4 linked regions of the Oryctolagus cuniculus genome follow. The protein of the gene in region 2 interacts with the protein of the main gene of each other region in a biochemical or structural test. Links are inferred from orthologs where the notes say so. Each region holds a gene or a part of one and is shown on either strand. Other genes may lie near its edges. The genes, in order: SMAD3, WWP2, WBP2 and SMAD7.

What was found.
Region 1: of the proteins of WWP2 (region 2) and SMAD3, one has a biochemical effect on the other in vitro, tested with the Homo sapiens proteins (2 studies listed by BioGRID). The link is inferred for Oryctolagus cuniculus from reciprocal best matches to the Homo sapiens genes WWP2 and SMAD3.
Region 3: the proteins of WWP2 (region 2) and WBP2 form a complex in vitro, tested with the Homo sapiens proteins (4 studies listed by BioGRID, with this or other methods). The link is inferred for Oryctolagus cuniculus from reciprocal best matches to the Homo sapiens genes WWP2 and WBP2.
Region 4: the proteins of WWP2 (region 2) and SMAD7 are reported together in a solved structure, tested with the Homo sapiens proteins (2 studies listed by BioGRID, with this or other methods). The link is inferred for Oryctolagus cuniculus from reciprocal best matches to the Homo sapiens genes WWP2 and SMAD7.

What each region holds. Positions count from the first base shown.
Region 1 is NC_091443.1:89,949,245-89,954,386, reverse strand, and holds part of SMAD3 (mothers against decapentaplegic homolog 3), read right to left. Parts: intron 3,990-5,142; coding exon 3,796-3,989; intron 3,650-3,795; coding exon 3,518-3,649; intron 3,102-3,517; exon of another isoform or gene 2,824-3,101; intron 2,556-2,823; coding exon 2,481-2,555; intron 1-2,480. UniProt on the Homo sapiens protein: Receptor-regulated SMAD (R-SMAD) that is an intracellular signal transducer and transcriptional modulator activated by TGF-beta (transforming growth factor) and activin type 1 receptor kinases.
Region 2 is NC_091449.1:52,876,392-52,882,089, reverse strand, and holds the start of WWP2 (NEDD4-like E3 ubiquitin-protein ligase WWP2), read right to left. Parts: upstream 3,959-5,698; 5' UTR 3,823-3,958; intron 1-3,822. UniProt on the Homo sapiens protein: E3 ubiquitin-protein ligase which accepts ubiquitin from an E2 ubiquitin-conjugating enzyme in the form of a thioester and then directly transfers the ubiquitin to targeted substrates.
Region 3 is NC_091448.1:4,794,811-4,800,538, reverse strand, and holds the start of WBP2 (WW domain-binding protein 2), read right to left. Parts: upstream 3,363-5,728; 5' UTR 2,757-3,362; coding exon 2,698-2,756; intron 839-2,697; coding exon 730-838; intron 1-729. UniProt on the Homo sapiens protein: Acts as a transcriptional coactivator of estrogen and progesterone receptors (ESR1 and PGR) upon hormone activation. In presence of estrogen, binds to ESR1-responsive promoters. Synergizes with YAP1 to enhance PGR activity.
Region 4 is NC_091441.1:28,937,744-28,942,885, reverse strand, and holds part of SMAD7 (mothers against decapentaplegic homolog 7), read right to left. Parts: intron 1,526-5,142; coding exon 987-1,525; 3' UTR 1-986. UniProt on the Homo sapiens protein: Antagonist of signaling by TGF-beta (transforming growth factor) type 1 receptor superfamily members; has been shown to inhibit TGF-beta (Transforming growth factor) and activin signaling by associating with their receptors thus preventing SMAD2 access.

The sequences.
Region 1 (5,142 bases), on a different chromosome or scaffold from region 2:
ACCCCGCAGCACAGCGCCTGGGTTTCAGTCCCAGCTCAGCTCCCGACTCCAGCGTCTTGCTAACGCTCGCGCTGGCAGGAGGCAGGAGATGGCGCAAATACTTGGGCCCCTGCCACCTATATGGGAGATGCAGATGGATCTCCTGGCTTTGGCCTGGTACAGTCCTGGCGGCTGCAGACATTTGGGGAGTGAATCACTGGATGGGAAGTGTCTCTCTCTCTCTTTCTCTCTCTTTTCTCTTTTGGCATAAAGAGAGAGAGAAAGAAAAAAGAAAAAAACAAGGAAAGGTTCAAGCTGGTAGGAAGAAAACCCTGGCCTGCGACTCCATGTTGCAGGAGAAGGCGGGACCCACGCCCTGGGCCCGTGGAATGAATGGGCCTCACAGATGACTCTGGAGATGTCCTCCATGATTTGACAGCTTTTGGCTGCTGCTGGGTTCTCAGCTACGCAAGGCTGCCCCTTTTCCTTTAAGTTATACACCTGCCGTGTGGCCCACGCCCCCAGGAAGAGGACAGGCCCAGGAAGCTCCTGACCCCAGCTGACCAAAGAACAGGAGGGTGCACATGGGAGGAGCCCCACCCACCCAGGCCTTCCCTGCACCTCTCACCAGCACACAGGGATCAGCCTGCAATGAAAGCCAGTGGCCATCTTCCCCAGAGCCACCTCAAAGCCACGGAGGGTTCTTTATTTACTAACCGCCCTCTGGGGTCTAGGTCCACCCTGAGATCCCCCAGCCCCTGCTGCCAGCCTGGCACTCGCCTCAAACCTGGGCCGCCCTCAGCTGTTCACAGGGGGTCTTTGATTTGGCTCCGACTCAGCCTTAAAGATAAGCTTCAAAACGGCTGCTCCACTTCCAATCCAGCTCCCTGCTAATGCACCCGGGGAAGCAGCAGAGGATAGCCCAAGTGCTCTGGAGACCTGGAGGAAGCTCCTGGCTCCTGGCTTCGGATCTGCCTAGCTCTGGCCGTTGCGGCCATCTGGGGAGCGAACCAGCAGACGGAATACCTCTACCTCCCTCTCTCTCACTATGCCTCTCAAATAAATACATCTTTAAAAAGTTGAGACTGGCCATATAGAAATGCTTACACTGGGTACTCAGCAGGCACTCAATAAACTTTTGCTTCCTGATTTGTGGCAACTGAAATCATAAACCCCAGGAAGGCTGTGGCACCTCCTCCCTGGTCTGAATGGCTGTGTACGTGGACGGGGTTGGAGGCGCAGGGGGCCAGAGGCCCTAGCACTGGCAGCCAGCAGGGAGGCCAGGCCCTGAGCAACTGCTCTGGGGTGTAACTGAGGAGCCCCACCCACTGAAGCCTGGCAGACAGACGGCCGCAAGCCTAGCACCCCCTTTGGATAGATCTGATTAATGTGCCCAGCAGGGCCCTGCATGGAGGCTGAGGGAGGGAAAGGGGGCAGGAAGCAGGCAGAGGAAGCGGAAGGAGGGACAGCAGAGGGTGAAGCCGCGCACAGAGCGTCCCTTCTGGTCTGCATCCTTTGTAACAGCAGGCACTGCACACGCAGACAGTGGCAGGGAGGCCCGAGAGCAGGCAGAGGGAGAGGAAACTCGGCAGGTGGAGGGAGGGAGGGAGGCTGGGGTGCTGCCTGGCTGGCCTGCTCCCCGCGCTAGCCTCCCCTGAAGGCTGGAGGCCGGCGGCGACGTCCATGACGCACGTGTATCTGAGTCGCTTTTGCTCTTCTCTCCTGGGCTCCGGCTCCCCGTCCAGAACAGGACACCTGCTAGGCAGCCTGTGCCTCCTCCCCAAGAAACTCTCGCTGACAACTCCAGAAGCTGCTAGCCTGGAGCCAACTGGGTCCCACAGCGAATGATGGGGCGGGGAACATCCGGGGACGCAGCAGCAGAGAGCCAGGCCGGGGCCTCCCGGGGGGAGCTGCCCATCTCCTTTGGCCACCGCTCAGAAATGCTGACTTCAGGGGCCTTTGCCGGGCAGCCAAAGAAAAACCCTCCTCCCCTTCAGGCTCTCGCCCCACCCGGACCTCCTGAGCTGATGGATTCCACCTGCCCACCTGCCCACGGCCACACCTCAGCGAGGTGCAGACCCAGCCGGGGGCCCAGACCCAATGCCAAATGGCCTGCCTGGCTGCACCAGCCCCGAGTGCCAGGCCCTCTTCTCTCTCCCTTCTCTGGAAGCCACACTGAGCTCACCTTATTCCCAGAATCTCCCCACTCCCTACACTCTTAGCCCACCTCATACCTAAACCCCACCAAGACCCAACTCGGGAGACCCCTCCCCTGCCAGTCCTGCTCCCTCCCCAAGCCGCCTTGGTGGCCCTGATGCCAGCAGGGCCCTGCAGCTCTGGGCGGCTCAGTCTCCTCCTCTCTTCCTGGTATCCCACACAAACTCGCTTGATAGATACTGGATAGAAAGACGGGAGGCAGGGGTTGAGGGGAAGGGGGCAGGGAGAGAAAGGGAGGGCGAGACCCCAGCAGAGGCGGGCAGCCTGTTGCCCCCCCGACTGACCTGCGTCCATGCTGTGGTTCATCTGGTGGTCGCTGGTCTCTCCATCTTCGCTCAGGTAGCCTGGGGGCGGGGTCTCTGCCATCAGAAGGCAGCTGGTTCATTAAAAGGCCTCTGACCCCCTCTGCAAACATCACCCCTTTTCACACCACCATGCCAGCATCGGGTGGCTGCTGGGGCACGAGCTCTGGGTTCCGCTGTCCCCATACCAGTGCGCCACAGCTGCCCACCTGGGTTGTAACCACCTCTACCCCTGCCAAGCTCACTTTTCCCACCCTTGGAAATCGGGTGAAGCCCCCGCCTCCTCCAGTGAGGCCTCCGGAGCCACCCCCAGGCCCTGACTTACCCCCTGAGCGAGCAGCGCCACCTGTGTAGGACCTGAGCCGGGCTGGGCAGTGGGTCGCTCCCTAACGCGCGGACCCAAGCACACAGGCCTGGAGCCGACCTCAGCACAGAAAGCTAAGCCGTGGAAGCCACGTCTGAATGCCAAGGCCCCACAAGGCAGGCAGCGGGATCGCAGCCCCAGCAAGCGCAGGCTTCCAAGAGGCTGCCAGGGCTGGTGATTCACATGTTATTCACATGTAAACGAGGGGCATCAAAAAAAAAAAAAAAAAAAAAACCACAAAAAACCAAGAGCCCTGTGGACGTGGAGCCGGGTCCTCCTGGCAGAGGAAACGCTCCAAGTGGGCCTCCCGGGTGTGAAGGCCAGGGGCACTCACAGCGCCGCTCCCCTCCTGGCTGCCGGGCCGCCCGATGGGATTCCGCCCAGCAGCAGCCCCGCCAGGGCCGCGAGGGCGGTGAGAGAAACACGGCATTGCTATTTCCGCTTCCAAAATAAATGACTGCGCCGAGGCTGGGCGGAAGGGTCACGCCGCTGAGCCGTGCCAAGAAAAGCATCGTTAGGGAGCGGGGAGCTGAGGCCACGGGTTCTCTCCCCACAGGGCTGCGATCCTGAGTCAGGGGCCCCCGGGGGCCAGCGCCAGCCGGCCAACCAGCCGGACAGAGAGGGGGTCCCCCCACCCCCCGCCCCGGGGGTGTACCTGGAATATTGCTCTGGGGCTCGATGCCCGCGGGGAAGTTGGTGTTCTCGGGGATGGAATGGCTGTAGTCGTCCAGCGGGGGGAACTCGGCCGGGATCTCCGTGTGGCGTGGCACCAGCACAGGAGGTAGAACTGCCGGGGTGGGGCGGGGGAGGGGGGACTTAGCAGACACCCGCTCAGGGCCTGGGGCCAGGCTGGCACCACAGCCCTGCACCCCGAAGCCCACCCCAGACCCTCCCACTCGCCCCGCCAGCCCCGATGGCCCAGGCCGGGCGTACCTGGCGTCTCCACTCTCTGATAGTGGTAGGGATTCACGCAAACCTCATCCTTCTTCATGTTGAAGGCAAACTCACAGAGCTCCATGGCCCGCAGCTCGTGGTGGCTGTGCAGGTCTGGCCATCGCCACAGGCGGCAGTAGATGACATGAGGGAGCCCCTTCCGATGGGACACCTGCAGCCGGCCATCCAGGGACCTGCGGGGCAGGGCGGGAAGAGAGGGCCACGTGGATTTGGGCTTCCTTCTGCTGGCAGCTCAGCAAGAAGCTGCCCTCCCCCTGCTCACCGTCCAGCCGCTGAGGTCCCGGGAATCAGAGATTCAGAGCTGGAGGAACCCCAGGAGAAAACAGAAACCAGCCCCACCCCCAAGCTGGCAGTGTGGGCGTGGCCCCCACCAGCCCTCAGAGTGCGTTCTGCAGGGACCCCAGAAGGGGACAGCACTGGAAAAGGGCCAGGAGCCACCCGTCTGGCAGAGGTGCAGAGGGGACAGGAGCCAATGAGACACGGCGGCCGACGGCAAGAGGGACGGCAGAACACACCTGCTACCCGGAGGGCTCTCACATCCTCCCGGTCCCTCCCCTGCCCCCCCCCCCCCCGTCTCTCTCTCCCGTTCTTGCGTGCTTTGTGGGGTGAAGCAGAGCAGGAAATGGGGGAATGGGAGGGAGTTTAAAACAGCAAAACCCACAGGCCAGGCCCCTCGGGAGTTCCTTGGCCTCCATCCGAGACTCAGACTCAAGCGTGAAAGCCACAGGGGCCGCGCATACAGTGAGCGGGAACACCAGCGGCGCCCTGTGTGGCGACCTGGCCTCACAACGGCTGTAATCCAGCGTCGCCAGCTCAAGCGTGACCCCTGACCCACAGCTGGGTCCCAGGAAGCTTGCTGGAAGGGCAGACTTGGAGCTGACCCCCATGAACTGCATCCGCAGAAGGGGGGTCCCAAGGGGACTCGGGAGTGGCAGAGGGGATGAGGCAGGGGAGGCCTTATTTGGTTCGGGAAAGTGACCTCGTGGTCACAACAGACCAGTGGAGCAGCAGACCCTGCTTCCCTGGAGGTTACAGAGTCCAGTGGGCAAGACTGCTGTCAATCAAATAACCAGACAGCTGCAGTGCAAACTAGTACAGGGACCCACCATACATACACACACACACACACACACACACACACAGTGTATGCCAGGGGCCGCCGGTGTGGGCAGCGGGTTAGCTGCTATCTGCAATGCCAGCATCGCATGTAGGCACTGGTTCAAGTCTCAGCTGCCCCACTTCCGATCCAGTTCCCTGCTAGTGTGCCTGGGAAAGCAGCAGAGAGCACCCACATCTGAGACCTAGACGGACTTCCAGATCCTTTCT
Region 2 (5,698 bases):
GCTCCCACACAAGGACCCTCCACTCCCTCTCCACAGAGCAACCAGGGTGAGTCTACTGAAAGGAAGGTGGATCATGTCCACTCTACTGTTCAGAACTCGCCAGTGGCTCCAACCCACCCTGGCAAGAAACCAACATCCTCACAATGGCCTGCAAGGCCCCCCAAGGCTCAGACCTCTCTCCTCCCACATGCAACACTGCTCTGCTCGCTTCCTCTCTACTCCCCTCCAGCCATGTGGGCATCCGTACTGCTGCCATCACCTACCAGATGCCCTCCTGCAGGGCTGTTCTACTTGCTCTTCCCTCTGTCAGCACTACTATTCCTTCACTCAGTCACATGGCCCCTTCTCCCACCTCCCTGACATCTCTACTTAACCTTGACCTCCTAAGGGGATTTTTTCTAAAAACCTTAGACTTAAAACTGCCTCCCTGGGACACACATTGGGCCTAGCAGCTGGGTCCCCACTTGGGACACCAGGAACCCACACAGGAGTGCCTGGTGCACGTCCTGGTTCCCTGCTTCTGATCCAGTTTCTTGTTAATGCACTAGGAGGCAACAGATGATGTCAAGTAGTTGACATGGGAGACCCAGATTGAGCTCTGGGCTCCTGGCTTTGGCCTGACCCAGCCCTGGCTGGAACAAGTGAATGGGAGCTCTCTCTTTCAGATAAATGTTTTTAAAAGTTAACTGCAACTCTACCCAACACTCCACATTCTTTTTTTTTTTTTTTTCACATTCTTCTTCTCTGCCATATTACAATACGTATTTTGCTTAGCTGGTTTCCTTATTGTACCTTTCCCCAATCAGATTTAAGACCCACAAAGGTGGAAGACTTTGCCTTTCTTCTATACTGCTATATTCCTGGTATGTAGAACAGCTCTGTCCAAAAGAAATACAACGGGAACCATACATGATTTTTTAACTTTCTAGGAAGCACATTTTTAAAAAGTGAGATGAAATTAATTACATTTAACTCAATAAATCAAAAATATAATTTGATGACTTCTATTTGTTTGCTCATTTACTATGTTATAAAAAAAAAATGCCCAAGAGACATTTTACTTTTTTCCTATGCTAAGTCTTCCAGTCTGGTGTGGACTGAATGCTTACAGCGTATCTCCAGGGCTCACCAGCACCATGAGGCTACTTGCAACTCTAGAAACTGCCTGGCATGGAACAGGTCCCTGCAATACTGGTGGGAGGAGCACTGTCCTGGGAAGAGGCAGCCATGGCAATGCTGTGGCTGAATGTGTTCCCCAAAGGTCCTGTGTCAGAAGCTTAACCCCCAGTGCAGGTGATGAGAGGGGGATCCTTTAAAAGGCGGTTAGGTTATGGGGGCCGTGCCTTCACGGGTAGATTAATGTCATTACTGCAAGAACAGGTTTGTTGGAAAAGCAGTTTAGTGTTTATGTTCTCTCGTTCTCTCTCTCTCTCTCTCTCTCCATGTGATGCCCTCCACCGTGTTACAACACAGCAAGAAGGCCCTCATCAGACACAGTCCCTCAACTCTTGGGCTTCCCTGCCTACAGACCATGATTCAAATAAACTTCTCTCACTTACAAACGACCCAGTCCATGGTATAGTTAAGCAGCACCACACAGACTAAGACACTGCAGTAGCGGGTTTTCTAGTCCTCAGTTACACTGCACATGGACAATTTTTTCTCTAATTCGTAGTATGTTTTCTTTAAAGCATCATACTTTTTGTACTTTAAAAACTTTTTTCAGGCCGGCGCCGCGGCTCACTAGGCTAATCCTCCGCCTAGCGGTGCCGGCACACCGGGTTCTAGTCCCAGTTGGGGCGCCGGATTCTGTCCTGATCGCCCCTCTTCCAGGCCAGCTCTCTGCTGTGGCCAGGGAGTGCAGTGGAGGATGGCCCAGGTGCTTGGGCCCTGCACCCCATGGGAGACCAGGAAAAGTACCTGGCTCCTGGCTCCTGCCATCGGATCAGCGCGGTGCGCCGGCCGCAGCGCGCTGGCCACGGCGGCCATTGGAGGGTGAACCAACGGCAAAGGAAGATCTTTCTCTCTGTCTCTCTCTCTCACTGTCCACTCTGCCTGTCAAAAAAAAAAAAAAAAAAAAAAAAAAACTTTTTTCAATAAAACTTTCTATCACTTCTATAAATGGAAAAGGATGGTCTGGAAACAGAAGGTGTGGGCCTGAGTGGCTGCTGGGTCATGTACTAGCTCTGGAATCGAAGGCAAGGGCTTCAGCAAGCCTCAGTCTCTGCATCTGCGGGACAGGGACAACCCCAGCCTTCAGAAGATCTCCGAGAGGATTAAATGAGACGTGGGCGTACGCTCCTGGTAAAGGAGAAAGTACTCATTAAGTGATGAGAAGCCGATCCAAGCCCTTCTTTTATGCCTATCATGTTCACATAGACCAGCAGCACAGAAAACAGCAGCTTGCCTACTAGAGACCCAAGACTTGGGTTCAAATCCCTTGCCCAACACTTAACAGCTGTATGACTTTAGAAATTCATTTATTGCCAAACACTGACCAAGTGCCCACAACATGCCAGGCACTTGGCTAGTGGTCAAAGAAGCCAAATAAAACACGGTATCTGCCCTTGAAGATTCTTACGTCCAGCAGGAAGAGACCAGTAAACAAGAAAGAACACATTGGTTTTAAAAGTCAAGACTCCTTTAAGTCTGTCTGTTTCTCATGACGTGGAAAAAAGACCTTTCCCCATCTAAATCACAGGGCTGCTGCAAAAATTAACTTCTAAATGCTCATCAAACACTTCAAAAACCTGAACACCTCATACATTTAGTAAAGTCCTTTTGTTCTCTAACTTGTAACCCTGAACGACTCTGGCTCTTGTGTGTGCACGCATGAGACTCACTTCTGCAAAACATTCAGTGAACATTTACAGAAAGAGGAAGATGAACAGCTGTGACATGGGTATTTAATCTCAACATCAGGCGCCAGGTCATAGTTCTAAGGCACAGGACACAGACTTCTACCTAGCTACAGCTGGTCAAGATAAGCAGTCACGTGGTAAGGGAAGCTGAATAATTTAAACCACAGCCAGACCCGAAGTCGTTAGCACACAGGTACACGGTCCTCTAGCCGGTGTTCCGGCCGAGGCGGTGCTGGGCTAGGTCATGGTCAAGAGCGTAGGCTGAAACCTTCCTGCAGCCACAGCAGAGCGCCCACGCTTTCTGTCTTCAGCCTCGAAGACGACTTGATCAAGGGGGAAAAGCCCCAAAGAAAGGCGATCCTGAAGGGTTAGGTTCCCAAGAAGTGGAAACCCGACGCCCGCGGGACTAAGTGGGTGTGACGAGAGCAAGACGACCAAGATTCTGTGATCCCTCCTGAAGTTTAAAGATGGACTGAGCCCGAAATCAAGTCTCGGGGAAACATCGCTGCCAAAGACGCAGCGGGGAAGACGCCCTCAGTGGGGCTCAGGCGGCATCTCCCGGGCTGCTCCCCTGCCCTGCCCGCCCTATGTCCATCTCGGCACCCCCTTCCCAGCTCCGTCCCAACTCGCCCTTCCCCTGCTCCCTCCACAGAGATCGCGATGCCTGTCCCTCCAGCCCCCCGGCACCAACGCGCCGCGCCGCTCCCGGAAGCACCGGCTCCCGGCCGGCCACCTCGGAGCGGCCCCACGCGGGCCGCGTCGCGCCCACCCCGCTCGGGCGGGAGCCGGGACACCCCTCCTCGGAGGCCGGAACCGCCGCGCCAGGCCCCTCCCACAGGAAGCCGCCGCCCCCCGGCGCCCGGGCCGCGCCGCCCCCAGCCCACCGCGCGCCGCCCGCCGCCCCCGGCCCGCTCCGCGCCCCGCGCCCGCCCGCCGCGCCCGCCGCGCCCGCGCTCGCTACCTGCCCCGGCCCCAGAAGCGGCGCCCAACTCCTCTCCCACTTCCGCCTTCCACCGCCCGCACTCGGGCCGGGTCACGTGGCCGCGCGCGGTCACCTGACCCGGAAGAGGCTGGCCGGGCTCTCAGGTGCCGGCAACCTAGGCCTGGCCTGCGAGCTTTTGGCCTCGAAGAGGCCCGGGTCCTGTGGCCGTGTGTATAAGGCGAAACTTTTGCCGCTCATGAATTTGTTTCCCAGCAGTCGTATAAACTGAGGGCTCGCCAGGTGCCACGTGCTGGCTTTATCTGCCCAGCAACGCTAGGGAGGCGCGTGCTGTGATTTAGACCCATTTTACAGGTGCGAGGAGATCCTCTTTCAATTGGGTCAAACAAATCACGAGTATTTGAGCTCCTTAGTGGGGTTAATAAAGTTATTAAAGTGAAATCTCAGATAAATTTCAGTTTCGGGTAAACAACCGTGTCTGCCCAATATCCTACATGGGATATATTTATACTAAGATTATCTGAAAATCACATTGGATTGTGCCGCTTGTATTTGTGTTTGATAATCCTGGTGACTCAATGCCTGCCACGTGCCAGGCGCGGTTCTAGACTGTAGAAGCAACAGACCTGTCCGTCGTGGAACATCTGGGACATGAAGTAGAACAGCTTCGAAGCCCCTGCCTGGGGGCATAAAATGCCCCCTATCACGCCCAGCCAACCCCTGTTCCCTTCATCTGCAGGTGCATACAACTTAGCAAGAACATTTTATGTCAACATCCCTTACTAACGGCGCAGGGCCTCAGCTTTGACAAGTTGGATGAAGACTGTTTTTCACTTTTAATTACCATTGGTTAAAATTAATACTAGCAACCTAATTACCCCGTTTTGTTTTTTTTTTTGGGTGGGGGGAGCCTTAGCATTTGGATGGATCCAATCATGCACACAAATGAAATTGGTTGAACTCAGTCCCTTGCCTTTCAATAATATACAGCCATCTCTTAATTCGTTAAACCTGTTAAACCCTGCCACGAAACTGACGCTTCTCCAATTTCATTGTCGGGCGTTTTCCTAATTCTGCTTTAGAGGAGTGAGGAAAGGCTTCCTTGTGGGGTGGGCTTTCAGTAAGTGTTCACCAAAGAGCAAGAGGACTAAGTAAAAAGCATGCAGGGTGCATTAAGCAGTGAAAGCTAGAAATATAGGTGGTCACCCGCATGGTTCCCCTCCCCACAGTCCCTTCTTATTTCTCTTCTCTCACCCCCACTCTGCCCTTTGGCCACTCTGGCCTCAGGACCTTTGGACTTGCTTCTCCCAGTGCCTGAAAAGCTCTTTCCCCATATAGTGAGACAGTAACGACCACTTCCCACCCTCTCTCTCTCAGATGTTTGCTTAGCTGTCACACAGCAAAGCCTTTCACGATCACTCTGTTTAGGATACAACTCATCTCTCTGCTGTGGCCCAGGAGTGCAGTGGAGGATGACCCAAGTGCTTGGGCCCTGCACCCCATGGGAGACCAGGAGAAGCACCTGGCTTCTGGCTTCGGATCAGCGCGGTGTGCCGGCCGCATCAGCCATTGGGGGATGAACCAACAGAAAAGAAAGACCTTTCTCTCTGTCTCTCTCTCACTGTCCACTCTGCCTGTCAAAAAAAAAAAAAAAACGAATGCAACTCATCTCTTCCTTCCCCTCCCACCAGCCCACTTCTCACTTTCTTATTTTTCCATGTGTCCTCAAGACTTAGCACTGTGTGACTTCTGTAAGAATAGAAAATCTTACAAATCCATGTTTCTCATGATAAGAATTACTAAGACAGGAGCTTTGTCTCAGCTTCCAGATCAGTGCCTTGTCCACAGGAGACTTCTTTAATTTGTGGAATAGATACGTTTCACCAACATTTATTGC
Region 3 (5,728 bases), on a different chromosome or scaffold from region 2:
GTCGTGCTGCTGCAGGCGTGCGCCTTCCAGTCCGGCCGCTCGCTACTGCTTCCCGGGGGCAGGAAGTGCTGAGCCCCTGCCGCCCACGTGGGTCCCAGAGAGCTTCCGGGCTCCCGGCTGTTGTGGGCATTTGGAGGAGGAACCAACGAATGGAAGATCTCTCTCTCTCATGCAAGCACGCTCTGCTTTTTAAGTAGTAAAAATAATCCAAAACAAAAAACAACCCATCCTGACAACGCGCCCTGCTGCTTGTCGCTTGCGGCCGTCTTTCCACTGCCCTCCGCGGCCACGGCCGGCTCCTCCTCTGAGAACATCCGCTCGTGCTCATCTCCAAGCCGGCGTGGGCAGCTGGGAGGCGAGCCGGTTCTGCAATCTGGCGTTTCTCTCTGCAGGACTCGCTGGGCTCGCTGCCCAGGCTGGAGGCTGGAGCCAGGCTACTGCATCCTGTTTACCACGTCCACCACTCCGCGTGAGCACAAAGGCCTCTCCGGCTACTCTCACAGAAACCCAGGCTGGACGACCAGGCCGCCGGCCTCCAGGCGGCACCCCGGGGTAAGCTCCGATTCACTGCCCAGCAGCCCATTCGGCTGTAGTCGGCCCGGGGTCCGGGAGCACGGGACAGAGGAACGGGCGGAGGGAAGCCCCTCAACCCGCAGGCTGAGGCTGACCTACGACCGGGACTCACCTACCCCTGAGCCCCCAGACCCACGGCGCCGCTGAGCAACTCACCCGGTAAGGGGTAAGGTAGACCGTGCCTTTCTTGGTCCCTTTGAAGGCTTCTGGCACATTCTTCATGTCATTGAACGTGAGTTCCACATGATCATAGGACATCAGGATGCTGTGGCCAGGGGAGGGGAGAGGCCCGGATGAGACACTGCAGAGGTGGGATCTGGGACCCGGCACTGGGCCCTCCTCACAGTGCAAGGAAGGGGCTCACGCAGCCGAGCAGGGTCCCCCGCAGCCACGTGGCCACTCCAGCCTGCAGGCGGGGCATCATCTGGGCCTTTCCTAGGTCCCTTTCTGTCACCTGAGCAGAGCACACGTGTCTGAGTCCCGGGCATGACGCCACACCTCTCAAACGGCTCCCTCCGGGGTTCTTGGTCTGCGGGGACACCTGACCACGAAGCCCCAGGACGATCCTGCGTGTGCGCTTTCCTGGGAGGAACCCACTATTCTACACATCCAGTGTTAAACACCAGGCTCAGTTACAGACACAACTTCCTCCTCCAACAAGGCCACTGCGATGGGCGTTCAGCCTGGTGGCTAAGGCGCCACCCTGGGGACACCGCACTGCGTATGGGAGAGCCTGGACCCAGTCCTGGTCCCCACTCCCGACTGGGAGGCAGCAGCGGCGGCTCTGGTGATGGGGTCCCCGTCACGCACGTGGGAGACCTGGACCCCTGGCCCCGCACTGGCTGCTGTGGGCATTCGGGGCAGATCAGCGGATGGGAGTCTCTCAAAAACAACAAAGCACTAAGTACAGGCACACTGAGCCCCGCGGGGGGGGGGGGGGGGGGCGGGCCCAGCAGGACGTCGTTCCGGTCCCAGACAGATACATTTTAAGTCCCCCTTAGAAAGACAAAGTCCCAGGAGATCAAGCGATGTTAGGCAGAGGCTCCAGACACAACACGCCCGTCTGTAACCTGAGGCCACTCTGACTACGCGATAGAAAAGCTCCAAGTTCAGCCCCATCTGGCTCCCCCCCCTTCCCAAATATTACAACTTTCTCCACTGGGGGGGGGGGCGTAGCAGCAGGGAGGAGGGCGGCCCAGAGGAAGACGTGCCCAGCGGCCAGCTGGTGTTAGTGCCCAGCGGCCGAGCAGGTGGGTGCAGGGAGAGCAAGCTCCCTGGGGTCCAGGGCACCCCGCAGTCTCCCCTGGCAGGGCCCGGGCTGGGTGCTGTCCGGGCTGGCACGGCTCTCCCTGCACCCTGTCCGCCCTGGAGACCAAGGCTGCTCCTCGGTTCCTTCTGCCTTCGAGAGCGAACCAGGCTCGGCGTGGCTCAAGCCAGGCCTGGCTGGCCAATGCCCCAGGCCTAGGGGGCAGGAGAGGCCACCCAGAGGATGGAAGGAGGGGAGCGATGCCCTGAGCAGGGGCGGGGAGCAGGACCAGCCCTGACCCTGGCGGCGACCCAGGCCAGCAGGCCTTCGCGACAAAGTGGCCCGGTGGGTGGTAACCTTTACAAGGACCTACTCGCGAGCCGGGACATCCGCCCTCGGGGCCCTCAGCCTCTCGCCTGGCCCTAAGCCTGGCCGTGAAGCCCGGGTGGACTCCTCTCCTGCAGCGCCCGTCTGCGCGGCTCAGCGCCCGGAGCTCCGGCAGTGGCGCGCCCACCTCCGGGCGCTCCATTCGCCCCACCGGGCCCCGCGTAGGGCAGGAAGTTTGCCGCGCGGGGGTCGGCGCCCACCAGCCGGCCGAGGCCCCGGGCCCCGCACGTAGTAAGGGAGTCAACACTCAGCAATGGCAATGTTTGCGCCAGGCTCCTCCCAGCTCCCGGGGAAGGCGCCCGACAGCCACCCCCGGGCCTCCCCACCCGCCGCCCCTGGGATCGCAACACCGCAGCCCCCCACGGGCCCGCCCCCAGCCGTCACTCCTCCTCGGCGCTCCACCAGTCCGCCCCCGCAGGGGTCTACTCCCCACCGCCCACCCCCGGACACCCGCCCCGCTGTCCTCCGGGGTCCTGCCGCGGAGTTTTCACCTCTCCGTGTTGTTGACGATCACTCCGCCGCCCTCCGAGTGATTCTTGTTGAGCGCCATAGTCTCTCCGAGAGGGGTCCCGAGACTCAAACCGCAGTACGCTTGCGCCCCACTTCGGCCCGCCCCTAGTGGCGTCGTTCTTATTAGAACCAGCCAATCACAGCTCCTGCACGGAGGCTGGCCCAACCACCTGATCCCGGGCGTCACGTGGTAATAGTTTATTCCTTCTCCCTCTCCCCCGAGTTCCGCCTGCGTCACAAACAAGTTGGAGACTACAATTCCCAGTAGGCAGTTCGCCCTCAGCCTGGCCCGGTCCCTACGCTGATGAAAGAGATGCGTTCTGGAAATACATTCTGGGACTTGTAGTCTTCTAGACCACAGGCTAGGATCGACGCTGTGGTTTGCGTAAACAATCGGACTGTGCGCGTCCCCAGAAGGCTGGGAATAAACAGTTTAGCTTCTTCCTGGGGTAGGGGCTTCATCCTAAAGGCCACGGGCGCGTATTAATAAGGCCTACAAGGACAGAATATGGGCCCTGGGGCTGGGGCCCAAGGCCCAGTTTCCCTAGGAAAACACGGCCACCCCTTTAACCAGTCAAGCCCAGGCTCTCCGAGGTGGGCTGCGAGGACGCAGTGGGGAGGGGAGACTCACTGCCCCCGCCTCCGCCATCCCCTCCCCACCCCCTCCACTCCTCCCTCCCCTCTCCTCCCCTCTTTATCCCCTCCCCCCTCTTCTCCTCCCCTCCCCTCTACTCCCCTCTTTATCCCCTCCCCCCTCTTCTCCTCCCCTCTTTATCCCCTCCCCCCACCCCTCCCTCCCCTCGTCCCCCTCCCCTCTCTTCTCCTCCCCTCCCCTCCCCTCTTTATCCCCTCTCCCCCTCCCCACCCCTCCCTCCCCTCGTCCCCCTCCCCTCTCTTCTCCCCTCCCCTCTCGCGGTGGGGCCGGGGTCCCTCGGGCTCCCTCCTCGCCGCCGACTCCACCGCAGCTGGCCTCGCGGTGGCGCTGCCCGCTCTAGAATGTTCTGCCTGGCAGCCCCAGCCAGCCCGGCCCCTGCCTGGAAAATTTCAACCAGACGGAGTCCCTGAAACCAGGCGGAGTGCGAGGCCGGCAGCCAGACACCGGGGCTTCCAAAGCTGGGCTGGCTCAGAGAAGCTGTGATTCCAGCGGCCCAGGGGCAGGCGGCGTCCAGAGTCCATTCCGGGAATGGTTAATCTCACGGGTCAGAGTTTGGTTGCCTTAGCTTTGAAAGCGATTGCGTCCCGAGGACCGCGTCACGGGGAAGATCCTGACACAGCAGCCTCGTGCGATCCTGTGCCAGGCCGGGCCGCACCTCGCAGGGCCTGGGCTGGGCACTGAGCGGGTCCCGGTGACGGCCGCCCCACGTGGTCGGGCCGGTTTGGCAGGTGCCATCTCTATAGCCCATGTAAAGAACTCATTTGTATTTTTAAAAAACAGGGCAATGAAGGGGGGCCAGCGTTGTGGCACCATCCTGCGACCCCGGCATCCTATAAGGACACAGGTTCGGGGGGGGGGGCGGTTCCCGGCTGCCCCACTTCGGATCCAGCTCCCTGCTAATGAGCCTGGGAAAGCAGTGGAAGATGGCCCGAGTGCTTGGATCCCTGCACCCTCGTGGGAGACCAGGATGAAGCTCCTGATGCTTGGTGTTCCTGGCTTAGGCCTGGCCCAGCCCTGGGTGTTGTGTGGATATTTGGGGAGTAATCCAGTAGATGGAGATGGAAGGTGAATCTCTCTCTCTCCTCTCTCCCTGCCTTTCACATTAATAAATTAAAAAAAAGGAGGGGGGAGGGACTCCCCCTGCAGTGGGGCGCTCCATGGAAGGGAGGTAGGGTAGAACCTTCAAGCCCCAACCCCACCCCTTGGCCAAACTAGGGTCCAGCTAGAGGCAAGATGCCATCTGCTGTCACTCCTGAAGTGGCTTCAATAGCTGTAGCTGGACCGAACTGAAGCCAGGAGCCTGGAACTCCATCGCAGGGGGTGCCGGCATCAGCTAACGCACTGGTTAACCCACTGGGACACAACACGGGCCCCCAGCTGCGGGATCGGGGGGGGGGGGGCTGAAGCTCAGCCGGTTTTGGACGGAATACAGGATTGTAGCGCAGGGCGCTGTGGCCACCAGGGGCCTTGTGACCAGAGGAGGAGTGTAGCCACGGGGACCTCCCGGTGGGAGCCATAGCAAGCTTAGGTGATGCCGGCCTGAAGTGTTCGGGGGAGCCACGGCCACACCGCTGCTCCAGGTCCTGGAGACGCCGGCGACCCCAGGGCTGGAGCTGAGGGCCCCGCAGCAGCTCGTTGCTGGACCAAGCCCTTCTGGGCTGGGGTCTCGGGGCTGGAACCTCTTCTCCTCTTTCCTGTCGCTCTGCCTGTGTCCGGTAAGGACCCTTCGTTTCTGAACTGAAGCGTGCGTTCTCCAGGCCAGAGCTGGCTGGCGGAGCGCAGAGAAGGGCGCAGGTGCGCCTGCGACAGAAGCCAGCGGGGGGGGGGGGCTGCGCCCCACAGTCCGCGGCCTCTTGGGTCCCAGCAGCTTCCTCTGTTGGCCTTGTGAGCCGAGCAAACCCGTGTGTGCTGTGACGCGACGAGGTGAGCAGGCTGCTCTCCAGAGACTGGTTCTCAATTTTTACATTCTGACCCACAAGAAGAAATATTTTTAAAGTATGAATTATTTATCTGGGGGGAAGCTCGTGTTCCCCGGTTCACCCTCTAAATGCATATGACAGCTGGGCGTGGGGTGGGGTTGAAGCTGAGACAGAAACTCAGTCCAGGTCACTGCTGTCTCCAGGGATCTGCATTAGCAGGTGTTGAACACAGGAAACTTTTTTTTTTATGATTTACTTATTTATTTGAAAGGTAGAGTTAGAGAGAGGCAGAGGCAGAGAGAGAGAGAGAGAGAGGTCTTCCATCCACTCGTTCATTCCCCAGTGGCTGCAACGGCCAGAACTGAGCCAATCCAAAGCCAGGAGCCAGGAACTTCTTCCGGATCCCCCATGGGGTGCAGGGGCCCAAGGATCCTCCAC
Region 4 (5,142 bases), on a different chromosome or scaffold from region 2:
CCCTGCTTGGTGGGAGGGGGCTGCGGGCGCGGACCTCACGGCACAGCTCGACGCACAGGCTGCAGGGGGAGCAAAGCGCACAGCTTCTCTCACACCCAGGAAACATCTGATGGAGGGGGCGGGGGGAGGCACAGGGCACTGGGGCGGGGGGGGGGGGGGCGCAATACTGTGCCGGGGCTGCCCATCCCAGGGAGATCCAGGAGCAGTGGCTGAGGAACAGAGACACCAGGACAGCTGGGCCGGGGTGGGCCGGGGCCGGGCCGGGCGGGGCAGGGCGGGGCGGGGGCAGAGTAAGGCAAGGATGGAGAGGGTCGGTTCCGGTTCAGCCTTGAGGAGGCTGGCTTCTCAGAAGCCTGTGGACAGGCCCGTGTCCTAGAAACGGGGGGAGAGCGGGGCAGGGGGCGTCTCGGGGGGCAGGCGGCAGAGCCGTGCTTCCGGTAGCCACTGGGACATCAGCCGCCAGTTCGCCCAAGGTACTGCCTCTGCCTCCACGGAACGCGTCCGAAGGGCAAGAGGGACACAGCTGGTGCCACAACCTGTCGGCGGGGACATCCGTCAGAAACACAGAGCAGAGAGTGTGGCGTTCCCCGCCTCGGCCACTCACACACACGCTCACTCACACGCACACTCCCGACAGGTGAAATGATGCCTGGAGAGAAGTGAGGGGCTGCTCCCCAGTCCACACACTGCTTCCCCCTCCTTTCCTTATCTGGGGTATCCCACCAACCATAGGCCTCCCCACCCCCACCCCTGCTCCAAAAAAAAAAAAAAAAATCCCAACAATTCTTTTCATAAGCTATTTCTCAAAGAACAAAACGGAACACAAACAAGAAGAATGACGAGTAGAAAACAGGAACAAACAACAACAACAAAAAACACGACCAAAGAGTCTGCATGAAAAGCAAGCATTCGGGAGGGAAACCTTAGCAGCAAAGTAGTTTGAACGCTGGCCTGCTCGGCTCATGCTCTGTCCTGTCCCCACGCGGCTACCGGCTGTTGAAGATCACCTCCAACCAGCACGGGCAACTGCTGATGAACTGGCGGGTGTAACACTGGCCCCAGCCCTTCACGAAGCTGATCTGCACGGTGAAGCCAGTCCACGGCTGCTGCATGAACTCGTGGTCGTTGGGCCGCTGCAGGCTGTACGCCTTCTCGTAGTCGAAAGCCTTGATGGAGAAGCCGGGGAACACCTTGTGCACCAGCAGTGTCCTGGAGTCCGGGTTGTCCAGTGTGGCGGACTTGATGAAGATGGGGTAACTGCTGCGGTTGTAGACCCACACGCCGTCCACCTCCCGCGTCAGCTGGATGCCACAGCCGATTTTGCTCCGCACTTTCTGCACCAGCTGACTCTTGTTGTCCGAATTGAGCTGTCCGAGGCAGAAGCCGTTCCCCTGAGGTAGATCATAGAAGATGTCCAGGGAAGGCTCCTGGACACAGTAGAGCCTTCCCACTCGCGTCTTCTCCTCCCAGTATGCCACCACGCACCAGTGTGACCGATCCCCAGGCTCCAGAAGAAGTTGGGAATCTGCAAGACAAAAAGGGGGGCGCACGGTTGGTGGCGGAGGGGACTGGCGTTTGCTTTTGCTTCTAGGACCAAAACACACACTCAGTGCCAAGGCAGAAGGGAGGAGGGGCGGCCGTGGTCCTGGACCGGCTGCAGGCCCTGGAGTCTGGAATCGTGACCCAGTAAGAGAAGAGCCCGGCTTTCCTGGTGCACAGCCCTGAGCTCCCCCAACCTGGCCAGGGAAGCCCCATCCTTGCAGAGCACGGGCCAGAGGTGCCTGAGTCTCGTGGCTCTTGCTTTTAAGGTTACAGGTGGCCTGGAATTACAGCTGTTTCAACTGGACGCAACTTTGAAAGCCATTGATGCCAGCGCCCTGGGCTGTCCTGATGGGAAACCCAGGACCCAGAAAGCTTGTTACTCAGAGCCAGGCAGTGACACAGACAGATCCAGCACCCTGGTGGTCCCCCGCCACCACTGTCCAGCAGCTCTGCACAAAAGGGGTCAATTCAAAATGCCCAATCACAACACACACTGGGACATCAAGCCAGACTACCTTAACAAAACTGGTTCCTGCCCAGCCAGAAGGTGAGGAGTCCAAAACAGAGAGGACCATGTCCTGGAAGTGGCCCCAGTGGCCGTGCCAAGGGGTGCCCCCTCCCCCTTTTCCCCTAGGCATCCTGACCCTGCACAGTGCAAGGCTGTTCCTCCCCCAGGGCCTTCCTGCAGGCCCCACCCGGCTCTGCAGAGCCCAGGGTGAGTCTGTTAAGGTGATTTTCCCAACCCTCTGCTCCGGGGACCTGCAAGGGAGGGGGGATCGTAGGGAGGGCAGGGGGCCAGGCGGCTGGCATTCCGACTCCTCCTTAAGCTGGAGCCAGCGGGCAGGCCTCAGACTGGGGCCCATAAATCTCCCTAGCCCAGCCAGGCTGCAGGGACGCTGTGGTTTGTGGCGGCAGGGTGGAGACCGGAAGTCTTGTATTTGTTAACAAAAAAAAAAAAAAAAAAAAGAAAAGAAAAAGAAAAAAGAAAACGGGGAACGGGGAACGGGGAGGGAGGCAAGAAAGCCCGGCATGCCACCCTCCCTGCAGCCCGGCCCTCCCCGTCTGGTGGGCTGGCAGGGACTGAAGTGTGACTCGCGTTTCGCTGGGGTCTGTGTTGGGAGCAACCGGGCTCCCAGAGGCCCTGACAGGGAGCTGCCCAGTCCCAGGGGTCGGTCGGCGGTAGGAGGAGGGCTCGGGGCGCCTGTCCTGAACCCCAGTGGGCTGTGGAACCGGTGCAGCTTAACACAGACTCATTCCAGCTTCTGCAGGCATGTTGGGACCTGGGCACCAGTCGGCTCCATTAGTGCTGTTTTTTTTTTTTTTTCCTAAAGCAGCAGCCAGTCCTGGATGGAGGTGGCCTGTGAATAAGTCTGCACAAATAATGCACACACTGCACTCCACCAAGGCAGCCACGAACACACACACACGCGTGCTGAGCTGTGGCCGTGGCAGGGCTCATCTCTCCCCCTCCCTCTCCACCCCCAACTTTGAAATCTATGCCCAGAGACTGGCGGTCACCACCCATCCCTGGATGGCCGGGCGTGCGCTGCCTAAGTGTATGTGTTATGGCAGCGTGCGTGAGAGCACTGTGTGTCCCTGGGCTGTGTGTGCTCTCTCTCTTTCTCTCTCTCTCTCTCTCACACACACACCTTGCAACATATGGGAAAACATGAGAGAGGCAAGGGCTCTGAGCAAAGAGTGAATCATCAGGCATCGAGCGTCTGCAAAGGATCCATCAACTGCTAATAAAGCGGCGAGTGCGGGCAATCTTTGAACTTGGGAGTTCACCTCCCAAGGCTACACCAGAGGCCGGTGACAGCCACGGAAGCCAGAAGATCTCTGGCGGAGAGAAAGCCCTGGCTGCCCCCAGCACACACCTGGCCTGGGAGAGGGGCTGGGCAGGGGCGCTGGGGGTGGGAGACTCCTCCCTCGGGGAGCCCCACTGGGTGTCAGGCAGCCTAGCGCCACTGGAAGCTGGCAGGCACTGGCAGGGAGCAAGGAGGAAGAGGACCTAGGTGCCCCATGCCAGGCCCCAAAGGGGCGGGGCCTCTCGGGGCAGAGGGAGCTGGGAGGGGGCGGGGAGGGGCGCTCCAGCGGGATTCTCTTTCATCTGGGCAGCCCGCGTAGCTACCCCGCTACCAGACCTCTCCTGGAAAAAGCCTCTTTCTGTTGAGGTTAATGGCCCAGCCCAGATAAAGGGTGTCCCTGAGTGTAAACAGGGCCCCTGAGAGCCGGCAGGGTGCCCCCCTCCCGCCCCCCCCCCCAGGGCAGCTCCGCTCTCTGCCTCCTGTCAGGGCTCTTCCTAGCACAAAGACACGCTCCCCAGCAAATCCACTGCGGGGCACGCAGCCCTGGGTGCTCCCGGGGCACCCCACACGGCAGAGCCCCCGCCAGCCGGGCTGGTTTCTGGGAAGCACTCAGCGTCACTGTCACAGACCAGTTCCCCGAATCGGGCCCGCAGCCCACAAAGTCTCCCCACAGGGCCGGTGTGGGCGCTTGGCCCGGGGCTTCCCAGGCCAGGCAGCCAGGGGCTGAGAAGTCCCCGGGCCTTCAGCCTCGGCTTCTGGCCATCACCTCCGAAAGGCAGAGCCCAGGGGCCCTGCCCTCAAGGTCACAGCCTCCCCTGTGTGTTCAGCGCCTCCTGCCCTCCCGCAGGAACTGCACCCAGCTTCTTGCCCAACTGCATGTGCTCATTTCAAAGCATCCCAAAGAAAAGCTCACTAATCAATGCCTGCGAGCGTTTTCTTTTTATTACACTTTAGGGAATTTTTGGAGCAACACCAAAAACATGCTGAGTCTGCCTAAAATTCCTTTAAGGTGTTTTCCCCCCCTTCCCCTTCCTCCTTTTCCTGAAAGCATAAACTCTCCCCTTTAAAGGGAAGGGGGCGGAGGGTGGGGGGTGACCATCCAGCAAGGCGCTCCTGCCGCCGACAGGAGACCAGCAGCTCAGGGACTCTCAGACCCTGGCCAATGGCACAGGGTGACCGGACCCGAAGGCCCCACAGTGGGTCAGCAAGAAACTGTCTTCTTCCTGATTTCTAAACTGAAAGACAAAGATGACCAACAATGGGGTACGAAGCCATTCCAGGCCAGAGAGCTGGGGCTGTCCCAGAGGCACCTGTGGGATTCTGAGCACATAGGAGGCACCCATGGGGAGCAGACGTTCCAAGATTCAGCCCTTCCAGGACATGGGTGAGCTTGGCCAGCAGCCAGGAGGCGGGGGTCTTCCTGGCTCTCACCTCTGCAAGGCACTGGACTGCATGCATGTGCAGTCTCTCTGCCAGGGTGCAAGGTGCCCGGGCCCGCAGCCCCCTCCCCGGGGCTCCAGCAGGGCAGAAGGCTGGCGCTGCAGAAGGCAGGCAGACAGGAAGTGAGCCTGGCAGGAAGGGCTGCCTCCCACAGGCCTCTCAGTGCTGATCAGGGGCAAACCAAGGGCAGAAATGTAGACACAGGCTCACACCCGGCAACCCTGGAACGCAAACAGCACCACGCCTCGCCCGCAGCAGCCCAGGGTCCTCCCTTCCCCGGGACCCAGGCGCCACGGCCGGTTGCCTCATCCTGTCCTGCCCTCTGCATCAGACATCTCAAAGGTTAACAGCA